Linked DNA regions of Drosophila melanogaster. The protein of the gene in region 1 interacts with the protein of each later gene in a pairwise test. Each region holds a gene or a part of one and is shown in the gene's direction. Other genes may lie near its edges.

Region 1 (5,128 bases):
CGAGTGGCTGTGGAGTTCGGCCAGTGCTGCCCGCAACTGACGTACTTGGTCGGCCGCCTGCTCCATCTCAGCCAGAATAGCGTGCTGCGTGGTCATGGCGTGAAAGAACGCAGCCGATTTCTGCGATACCTGTTGCGCTATTTTAACTTCCACCATGTCCAGGTAGTGACTCAGCTGTTCCTGCAGCTGACGACCAGTTTGCTGATGACTTTCCGGACTGGAAGCCGATGTTTGCATGTAATTAGGAAATACCTGCTTAAAGGTTGCCGGATGATGAAGCTGCAGTTGTGATTTCAGAAAGATCTCGGGCACAGAACTCAAGTGTGTTGGTGTCTGACCACCAGTTCCCGGTCCAGGTGCTCCTTGTGCTCCATTCTCCAGCGGTTTATCACGCTCCAGTTGTTGCTGCCGCCGCTCATGCCAACGATATCGCTTCCCTATGCTGCCCAGATACACGGTAAAATCCGCATGGGTTATATCGGGCAATCGGGGTGATGGGGGCACATGACTTCGTTCCACAAAATGCTCGCCCCACTTTTTGGTAAACAGATTACTCTGCTTTCCTCGCGAGGGATCGTTGAGCACCGCTGGCAGGTTTTGGGCCGCCGAGTAGACTCCCCATTCGGGAGGCATTTCGCGCGTGTGCTGATTGACATGGTACTTGGCGACATGGGCGTCGTAATCGCGATCTGAGACTCCGTCCAGTGGAAGCGAGGCACATACTCCATTGAAGCCATAGCGGCACACAAATGAGCCACCCTCCCGGGTACAGTGACGATTTCGCAGGTGACTGTAATGCGTAATGAGAGCATTTATTAAAACAGCTTTATAAGATCTGAGTAACTTTAATGAATCAATATTCTATTAAATTCCAATTGAATTTGCAACACATTCTATTATCTTTAAAATTACATATATAGAAGTTGTATTGTTTTCCGTATAATCACTTTTAGACAATCCCAAATATAACTTACGTACAAAACACCTCTAAACGAGGTTTGTGAGTTCGACTGCAGCTATACAATTTTAATTATTTCTACCTGTCTGTGCAATTTACCTGGCATTTATCGTTTTAACTCATACATGCATATAAAGTTAAGATAAAAATGGTATTGACTCGTAAGGCTGCTCAAAGTTCTATTATATGGGAAGATTTGGACGACACTCACTTGACGAAGTCGCTGATGCTTTTAAAGTGCTCCCGGGTGCAGTAGTAGCAGCTCTGCCAGCTGGGCGCCACTCCTCCGGCAATTCCACCGACGCTAGCCGTCGATAGCTTTCTGATACCCGAGTTCCCTGCTGCCGGTCCAGTATCAACGGACGTGGCGGCACCTCCGGCGGATCTTGTCGTGGCCATAACACATGCTCTGCGTTTAAAGTGCCGCGCCGTATGGTTTCCCCGGTGGTTCACCTGCTCCCAATCGTTGACGTGTTATGTCAATGTTTGTTTTCTACCTTCGCTCGTCTGCCTCTCTTGCCAGATGTTGCATTTTGGTTGCTCCGCAATAAGTCCACTTTCATTGGCTGTTCGTTCTCTAGCCTTGGAATGGGCACATTTCGTCCGATTTATGGGTGTTTCTGTTGCTTCTGCGGTCGCTTAATTGAGCAATTGTAAGTGGAACAATATTATGACGAAGTTCAGTGTTGTAAAACAGCGGCGGACTGGATGGCAGCTGGCGAGGGCTGGAAACGGTCAAGCGCGCGATGCCAGCAGCTCGAAATTAAAATATGAAAGTAATTAATTTTAACAGAAAATAAATATAGTATATGTTTAGTTAATATAATTAATGTAATTTGAATATCTAAAAAACAAAATATCAAATAAATAGAATTATGCTTTAAAAATTTAAGTTGAATAATAATTATATGTTTTAATTATATTAAACATTCAGGCAGAACTGTTTTATTTTTTAAATAAAAATGTTTATACATTTCCTGGCATACAATCGTATCGTGCAAATCGTGTCTCAAAAATACCAAACGTTATCCAACACTACATCTGAGCAAAATCAGCTGACGACTGACAGTCGAAATTGGGGCGCTCGAGCGAAATTGCGGCGCACCGGCTTTTTGAATCTTTTCGAAGTGGTGCAGCGAATAATTTTGATTATCTAGCTAGCAAAGAACTGCAAAGATAATCATGCGACTGGCACAACGTTACGGAATTGCACTGGTTGCGCTGCTTATGGTTGGGGCGACCGTATTGTTCTTCTGGTCGGAAAATATCATTAACTACGAAAACATCAAGTTCAACAGTCCTGTGGAGCTGGTCTGGTGGTCCAGGGATATGTCCTGGAATTACGACGTGCAGCGCCAGTGCGGAATTCATACTTGCCGCATCACCAACAAGCGGAGCCGCCGTCCGTGGGCCCGGGTTCGTTTCAAAAACCAAAAGTCTAGATTTCTTTTTGTTTCACATCCGGCAGACATGATAAGAATTGGATTGAAAATAATAATAATATAGGGCTCCAACTGTTTGAGATACTGTACCATAGTTCTGAAAAATATGTAAACACATAGCTTAGACTGAGAAATGCATAGCACTGCAGATACAAATTCGCTTACTTCAGTAAGATATGTAATTGTAGATTCATTGTAATTTGATATAATAATAACGGAATGTCTCTTACATTTTTCACAGGGCGTCCTGTTTTACGGCTCAAACATAAAGACGGGAGACTTTCCCCTGCCTCGGAACGAGCACCAAATCTGGGCCCTACTGCATGAAGAATCACCAAGGAACACCCCTTTTGTGTCCAATAAAGAGTTCCTTCGCCACTTCCATTTCACATCCACGTTTAGCCGCTACAGCAACTTGCCGCTGACTACGATGTACTTGCCCAGTGGCGAGGCGCTTACTTCGAAGGATTACTATGTTACGTTTGACGGCAAGTCAAAGTACGGATACCGTCCATCCACATCGGTGGTGTTCCTCCAAAGCGACTGCGACACGATGTCTGGAAGGGAGGACTACGTAAAGGAACTGATGAAACATCTTCCGATCGATTCCTACGGCAGCTGCCTACGGAATAGAGATCTGCCAGAGAGGCAAGTAGGCTATTCCATTTGTATCCTATTTATAATCCCAAACATTTTACACACTCATAACAAACACGCGTGACAAACACATCACGTGAAACACTATCGTTCTAAAATTCCTTTGCCATCATGACATCACCAAGTGCCAACGAGCTTCCCAAGGTCTGTTGTTCAGAGTGCTGGGTGCAGTTGTACGGCTCGCTGCCTCAAATGAGCAACGTTTCCAGAGAATGCTGCTGTCGTCAGGGAAATCATAAAGATCTAGAAGAACCTCTTTTCTGTGATGACGATTCAATAATGGAGTCTCAAAATAGTTCAAATGATTCTGACCAAGATAGCAACGGAAGATGCGGATGCCCTTCATGTCGAGCTGAAAAACACTAATATCTAATTTGCAATCGAAATCGTAAAAATTGTTCAATGCCTATTGATTTTGTTTTAGCTTGCAGAAGGATTACTTGAATAATTTATATTCACCGGAGTTGCTGCGTTTCCTGTCCGAATACAAGTTCATGATTGCCATTGAGAACGCTGCCTGTCCGGATTATATTACCGAAAAGTTTTGGCGTCCTTTGATAATGGGAGTTATTCCAATTTACTTTGGCTCACCCACCATAAAAGTAAGTCCGTATTTCAAATAATAATTTTCACAATTTTTTTTTTATTACATTCTACAAATATTGCAGGACTGGGAACCGAATAATAAATCTGCAATTTTTGTGAACGACTTTCAAAATCCTCAGGCATTGGTAGAGTATCTCAATAAGTTGGCGGATAACAAAAAGCTGTACAATTCGTACCGCCAACACAAACTAAATCGGCGTAACCCCATTTCCAACAAAAAGCTACTCCACAACCTTGTCACGCGCCAGTACCACATAGGCGATTCTTCTCCGGGAGCATCACTCTTTGAGAAGTTCGAGTGTGCAGTGTGCTACCATGTAATCAATACTGCCAGGAACGTGAAGGCCGACTTGCGTCATTACAATTGTCCCCTGGAACCGGTGTATGCTAAGATGGAGGGTCAGAAAATTCCTCAAAATGTCGCGGATTGGCGAGCCGCAATGGAGGTAGGCCAGTGCCAAGCTAAGGTACTCGATGAGTTCTTCCGTCGAGACATCGGTTTCAATGACGCAGAGTTTGATGCTGAGCTCAATCGGAGGATTGAGGGAAACAATTGCAGTAATAGTTCAAATACTTAATTCGAAAAATACGTCAATCATACAGACTTTACCATGTGATAATAAATGTATATTAAACTATTTACAATAAGCTGTCATTTCTGGTATTTACAATGTAAATGTACCTCATCCAGGACTTTATTTTCCTATTCCATTTAATTGAAAACTGTTGTACACAATATAAGTACGTTAGCTTAATAAATATTTAAATACTTAAATTTCCATTGATTCTTCTAAAAATATATGTCTGCATGTACCCATTTCATCTACATCCATTGATCCATCCATCCAAATGATTCCATATGGTGGGGACTTTGATCTCAAAAGAATCTGTGACATCAGTAATCTCTACTGTACAAGATTAGTATACTGGTGCAGTTTCAATATCGTACGGCAGATGCCTAAGAATTAAAGTTTTCGTTATGATATGTTTAAATTGCATTATGATTACTTACCCGGAAATACACTATTTCTCGCAGCCTTTTCGAACTTTCGATTCGGTTTTCTTCCTAACCTAATCATCTCTCTTAAAATTAGAGCCTTATGAGAGGGCTCTGAGGACATCAACAATTTTTGTTTCTTTACTAACGGATAGAATCGTTTTTTCGTAGATGATGAAGACCATTTAAAACCATTATTTAGCTTTCTTTGAGAAATATTCCTGTGCCTTTTTATTTGACTCGGCCGTTTTCGAGGATTGCTTATTTTGGAGCCACAAGAATTAAATTTGTCCTGAACTTTGAAATGGCATCCATTTGTGGAAAGGACTGGTACTTCGACGCCACAGCTAATGCATCGATTTTTATATGTAACCCTATAATTCGACATGGTACATCTGTTGGTAAGAAGCCGAGTCTTGCAAATTTTGAACCAATATTTATATAAAAAATATTTTTATAAGACGATCT
Region 2 (5,851 bases), on another chromosome or scaffold:
CTTAAACTGAACAAAAGAAGACGAGTTGGGGGGCAAGTGGGGTCTGGCAAGCAAGAGTTCGGCAAGCTGGTTAAGCCTGGCATGCCACTCCATTTGGAAGACGGTTTTTTTTTACGGTTCGCCACAAGCTCATAAAAAACCTCCAAAATGGGTGACACACAAAGGAGTCGCACATGCACACACACAGCCACACCTTCACTTACATGAAGGCAATGAAATAAACAAAGCCGCAAAAGACACGAAAACCTCAGTGGAGCGAGAGAGATGGGCACATGGTGTGCGAAAGAGAGGGAGAGATGTTTCAGGAGAAAGAGACAGATGGTAAGCAAATTGCTGAGGAGTCCAAAAGCCGGACCGACGTCAAAATTATCGAGCAGCAGGTGTGCTCTTCTCCGTTTTCCCCATTTTTCTTTTTTTTCTCTTTCTCACTCTCATTGTGCCTCTCTCTTTCGCACATACTGACCCTCTCTTTCGCACACAGCCACTGGCATTATTGCTTTTGTGGCTTTTCGGTAAATATTTTGCATAAAATATCAATTTGATATGCAAACGGGCGAATATGTGAAAACGTGCGACTGCAATGACTACTCAGACTCTATGAAATTTAAATAAAAATCTGCAAGTGTAAATTTAATTAATTACTGAACATGTTTTTCAAACATAACTCTTTGTATTCACAATTGGCCGGAGGCCAACATATGTACATAGCTCGCTCTAAATAACGTTGCATAACTTTTGTAGCCGCAACTTTGAACAAGTCAGCTACGAATATCCTTCGGAAAAATGCAAATGATGGTTATTAAAATTCCAGGAAAAGGTCTTTATTTGGCACACCCACTCTAGATTAATTGAGAGCAGTTAAGGTGACATTAAGCCGAACCCAAAGGCAAAGAACCCAAAATGCAAATCGGGGGGAAAAAACGCTTGGAGATAATGTGGCCTGGCAAATGGCTATTTCACTCGATTTCGTCTAGTCCCGGCGATAAATTTCGAAAGCAGATTTACTTGTTGATTTCCCACGTAATTGAATTACTCGCGAATAAAGTGCGGACCAAATGGGTCCCGACATTTTCCTCCCAGAGGGCAAACAAATTGGGAAAAAAAAGGATTTTTGGGGCCAGCCCAAAAATTAATTTCATTTTGGTGTATTTACAGGGAATTTTTACGCTAACTTTTTGGTACAAAATACACAAATTTAAAAGGAATTTAAAAGGAAAAATGCTTTGCTCTAGCCCAAATGTCAAGGCTACAGAAAAAATTATATCTATCACAACTTGTTCATAATCATAACCCTTGCGGTCTTGTATAAGAACATGCCATTGTCCAGTCAGGCATTTAAATGTTAAAGTGAAAATAAATAGATAGATAACCAAATAGAATGTAAACAAATAGGTAAACAACGTGTCGCACCACTTCCACTTGTGTTGGGTATTTATTTGTTAATACGATATTTACGCCCCCCTAAATGGAAATGGGAAAATTTCCAATCAAAACAGCACAGCCAGTGTGGTAGTGGTAACCGTGTCACGTAGCCTGTTAACGGATGAAATAAATATTTCAGGCACAATTTCAGGGGCGGCAACGGCATCCACTTAGCTTTCTTTTTTTTCTTTTTTTTTTTGCCCCCAGTGGCTGCTATAAAAGTTGGTGCAACAACGAAATCCGGTTGAAAGACCAACATGGACGCCAGCTACTTTGCCGTCCAGAGAAGAGCTCTGGAAATAGTTGGATTCGATCCCAGTACTCCGCAACTGAGTCTGAAACATCCCATCTGGGCCGGGATTCTCATCCTGTCCTTGATCTCTCACAACTGGCCCATGGTAGTCTATGCCCTGCAGGATCTCTCCGACTTGACCCGTCTGACGGACAACTTTGCGGTGTTTATGCAAGGATCACAGAGCACCTTCAAGTTCCTGGTCATGATGGCGAAACGAAGGCGCATTGGATCGTTGATTCACCGTTTGCATAAGCTAAACCAGGCGGCCAGTGCCACGCCCAATCACCTGGAGAAGATCGAGAGGGAAAACCAACTGGATAGGTATGTCGCCAGGTCCTTTAGAAATGCCGCCTACGGAGTGATTTGTGCCTCGGCCATAGCGCCCATGTTGCTTGGCCTGTGGGGATATGTGGAGACGGGTGTATTTACCCCGACCACACCCATGGAGTTCAACTTCTGGCTGGACGAGCGAAAGCCTCACTTTTATTGGCCCATCTACGTTTGGGGCGTACTGGGCGTGGCAGCTGCCGCCTGGTTGGCCATTGCAACGGACACCCTGTTCTCCTGGCTGACTCACAATGTGGTGATTCAGTTCCAACTACTGGAGCTTGTTCTCGAAGAGAAGGATCTGAATGGCGGAGACTCTCGCCTGACCGGGTTTGTTAGTCGTCATCGTATAGCTCTGGATTTGGCCAAGGAACTAAGTTCGATTTTCGGGGAGATCGTCTTTGTGAAATACATGCTCAGTTACCTGCAACTCTGCATGTTGGCCTTTCGCTTCAGCCGCAGTGGCTGGAGTGCCCAGGTGCCATTTAGAGCCACCTTCCTAGTGGCCATCATCATCCAACTGAGTTCGTATTGCTATGGAGGCGAGTATATAAAGCAGCAAAGTTTGGCCATCGCACAAGCCGTTTATGGTCAAATCAATTGGCCAGAAATGACGCCAAAGAAAAGAAGACTCTGGCAAATGGTGATCATGAGGGCGCAGCGACCGGCTAAGATTTTTGGATTCATGTTCGTTGTGGACTTGCCACTGCTGCTTTGGGTGGGTTTTTAGTAATGGATTATTAAGGCATACTTAAGATATTATATCTTGCAGGTCATCAGAACTGCGGGCTCATTTCTGGCCATGCTTAGGACTTTCGAGCGTTAGCCCATCAAATCGAAGCTTGAGAATAGTTACCTCTTAATGAACAAAAATGATTATAATTTCTTAATCAATCAATAATCTTTAATAGTCGAGTACATTTATTTGGAAATATTCATGGGCAAGCGATCCAAACATCCACAACCCAACTCCAATCAGTTGCCATTTGGACGAGCATGTTTTTGACGGGCTCAGCTGCCCCGAAGGGATCTCATGCCCCAGGTTGATGCCACTGCAGGCAGATGGAGGAGCATATGAAATTCATGAGGGCATTCCACAAAGGCAGCTAGCGAAGCCAGCTCATGCGTGTGGCCATGATGTCAGTCGTGTGTGCATATGGGTACTCGTATGTATTGTATGTATATAGATGTATACACCAGGTAGTCGGAATTTGTTAGTATGAAAGTACGAAAGTATGCAACATCAGCAGCATCGTTCAGGTGGGGAACAAGTTGCTGAAAAATAGCTACTCAAACTATGTGCACCATGCTGCTTGCCAGCCAATGGCCTCGGGCTCCTTTTTCGACTCAGCCCGGGTCTTGAGCTAGTTTCGGGGCTTCGGGATCAGGATCAGGTGGAATGCGGACCTAAGAACCCTGCCCTTATCCTTCGTGCCTTGCGGAATGTTGCCTGCTACGGAATTTCTGGCTTGATGTTGCCGAGATTCGAATTCAGTCGGAGGCTAAGTCGCTTGAACGGAATTTGTTTTATTAAATTTTACAACTCGGTATTTTGCACATGCAAAATGGACTCAGTATTTCGGACTCCGTGCACCACCGTTTTACCAAAAAGCTGTGACAAATTGTGCGGGCGTGGAAGCCAGGCACCTCGGATTATGTTACAAATTACGACAGCGCTATTGCGGGCATAATTAATTTTTGTCTCTGACATTTGATTTATTGGTCTGCGTTGGTCAGCATCTTTGGCTTGACTTCGAAAAAACAAATGAGCAGCGATTAATAAGCGCGAATCGCTCCTGGCCATTACGCACCTGCGGCACAAACAGCCAACAAAATTCGAGCATCAACCTGCCACAGCTAGCTGGGTTTGCTGGGCGGTATAACTTTACAGCAAATTGTGGCCAAGATAAGAGCGGATGGCCAAGAGCCACAAGCTGAAAATAGTGGTGAAAAAAATCACCATTTTATGTGTATTAAAAATGTGAACAAAAACGAACAGGAGCGAGCACAGATTTTGTTTGCGGTTCGTTGAGCACACAATAATTCCATCAGCATCAGTGGCAGTAGGAAAAGTGGGCGTGGCAGGCGTGTGTGGGCGGTGGGGTAGAGATAAAAGTGCTGGCAGCACTTTCGCTGCATTGCTTTTTTTGTTTTTTTGCAGTTGTTGCGGTGTATTGTGTGGGCAGTGCCACGAGGCGAATGGTTAATAATCGAACAAAAAGGTCCTTAAAGCTGTCGCGCAGTGAGCAAACGTTTATGCAAAGTAAATTGATATGCAAACTGCAAATTTCAATGGCAATTCAAACTTAAATGTCCTAATGCAGTTTTATCTTTGTAAAACAAAATGGTGGCCAGCTGGTAGTTTCCCGCAAGCATTACCCCAGGGCTTATGGTTTGCATTTAACCAACAAAAAATCTAACCTAAAGTTTTACAACAAAATTGATTTTTCAATTTCAAAATGAATTGCCTGAAATGAAGAAAACAAAAACTATCAGTATTTTAATGCGAAAATTGAAATGCCAAGCTTAAATCAAGTTCGCAATGCGGAAAAGTGGCCAAACACTTATTCAATTCACCCGAAGTGGAAATTCAAATTTTCGAACACAAATGCTAATTCAAATTAAATGGAAAAACCCAGCCGTTTTCACGGTAATTCCACCTCTTTGGCCACCGGAAAATAGGAAGCACAAAAAATGTCCCACTTTAATCGGGCTTGTGTTTGCCAAAGCTATATTTTCATCTGTATATATGTACAATATAAATGTATAACATATATTTTTCGGTTAAGCATACAAGGCGGCTGTGCAGGGCCTTGATGAAACTTTTCTAATTAAAATTGTGCGGCTTGTTGAAAGGTTTTTCCAACGGCGAGGGGCCGGCGAAGGGCGGGCGCGGAGATAGCCAGTTTTAATAGAAATTACATTAATTAATATTTAAAATATGCTTAAATACACATTCCTATGCATTAATTAATACGGGCTGGCGGCACACATACAGCGAGTAAACAATGAAACGTGACTGGAACTAACAACGAATTGCGCCATAAGCCAAACGTTGGCAGGCAGGCACTCCAACTCCAGGACTAAACGGAGATTTGACTAATTACAGCACGCCCCCTAATTTCTTGTTTATTTGGTTAAATTTAATTTCAAATGCCACAAATGCGACAATCGAGCTGAGCCATGGGGCAAACAGTAGCGGTGATTACAATGTTTTATTGACTGTTTTTACCCACATAATTGCCACAGATTTGGACATTGTCCAAATCGACTTGTTTTCCCCTCGAGACGAGACGAGTCTCCCCACTTCCGAAATCGCTTCTCCCAGTCGCTATTTTCGTCTCCTCAGCTCAGTTTGGAAACTTTGATTTACGCCACCCGTTCCTAACCCACTTTTATGGGACTTTGTGTGACCCATTTGAACATTTGGCTTGCAGCGGCTCCCTTGCGAGGATGTGGATGGGAATGTGGATGCCACATGCATGACAAGCACTTATGCAAATTATATGGCGCACTTATGTGCGGGCAGAGGATTCGACTTTATTTGTCGGAATTTCGATGGGATTTTCAGCAGCAAAATTAAAATAAAACATAAATGTATAACAAACTTTCACTAAGTGCAAGCGGGTTCAAGCGAATAATGGTCATAATTTTTTTGCGAGATAAAATATTAATACTGAACTCGACCAGAAATAGTGAATTCTAAAATGATTCCATATATGTCATATAGAAACATATTAGGCTAATTAGTTGTTAAAATTATACGTCGAATGAATCATTCAGAACCATTATTCGGTTTTTTTTTGT

The links.
Region 2: the proteins of FucTB (region 1) and Or45a interact in a two-hybrid assay, tested with the Drosophila melanogaster proteins (one large-scale study listed by BioGRID).

The regions. Positions count from the first base shown.
Region 1 is NT_033779.5:9,427,943-9,433,070, reverse strand, and holds FucTB (alpha1,3-fucosyltransferase B), read left to right. Parts: upstream 1-2,018; 5' UTR 2,019-2,140; coding exon 2,141-2,374; intron 2,375-2,641; coding exon 2,642-3,048; intron 3,049-3,070; exon of another isoform or gene 3,071-3,481; coding exon 3,482-3,659; intron 3,660-3,725; coding exon 3,726-4,241; 3' UTR 4,242-4,402; downstream 4,403-5,128. Other genes in the region: scat (scattered), read right to left, coding at 1-790, 1,170-1,357; CG42847 (uncharacterized protein), read right to left, coding at 4,569-4,621, 4,676-5,048.
Region 2 is NT_033778.4:9,343,743-9,349,593, forward strand, and holds Or45a (odorant receptor 45a), read left to right. Parts: upstream 1-1,606; 5' UTR 1,607-1,679; coding exon 1,680-2,762; intron 2,763-2,816; coding exon 2,817-2,870; 3' UTR 2,871-5,121; downstream 5,122-5,851. UniProt on the Drosophila melanogaster protein: Odorant receptor which mediates acceptance or avoidance behavior, depending on its substrates. The odorant receptor repertoire encodes a large collection of odor stimuli that vary widely in identity, intensity, and duration.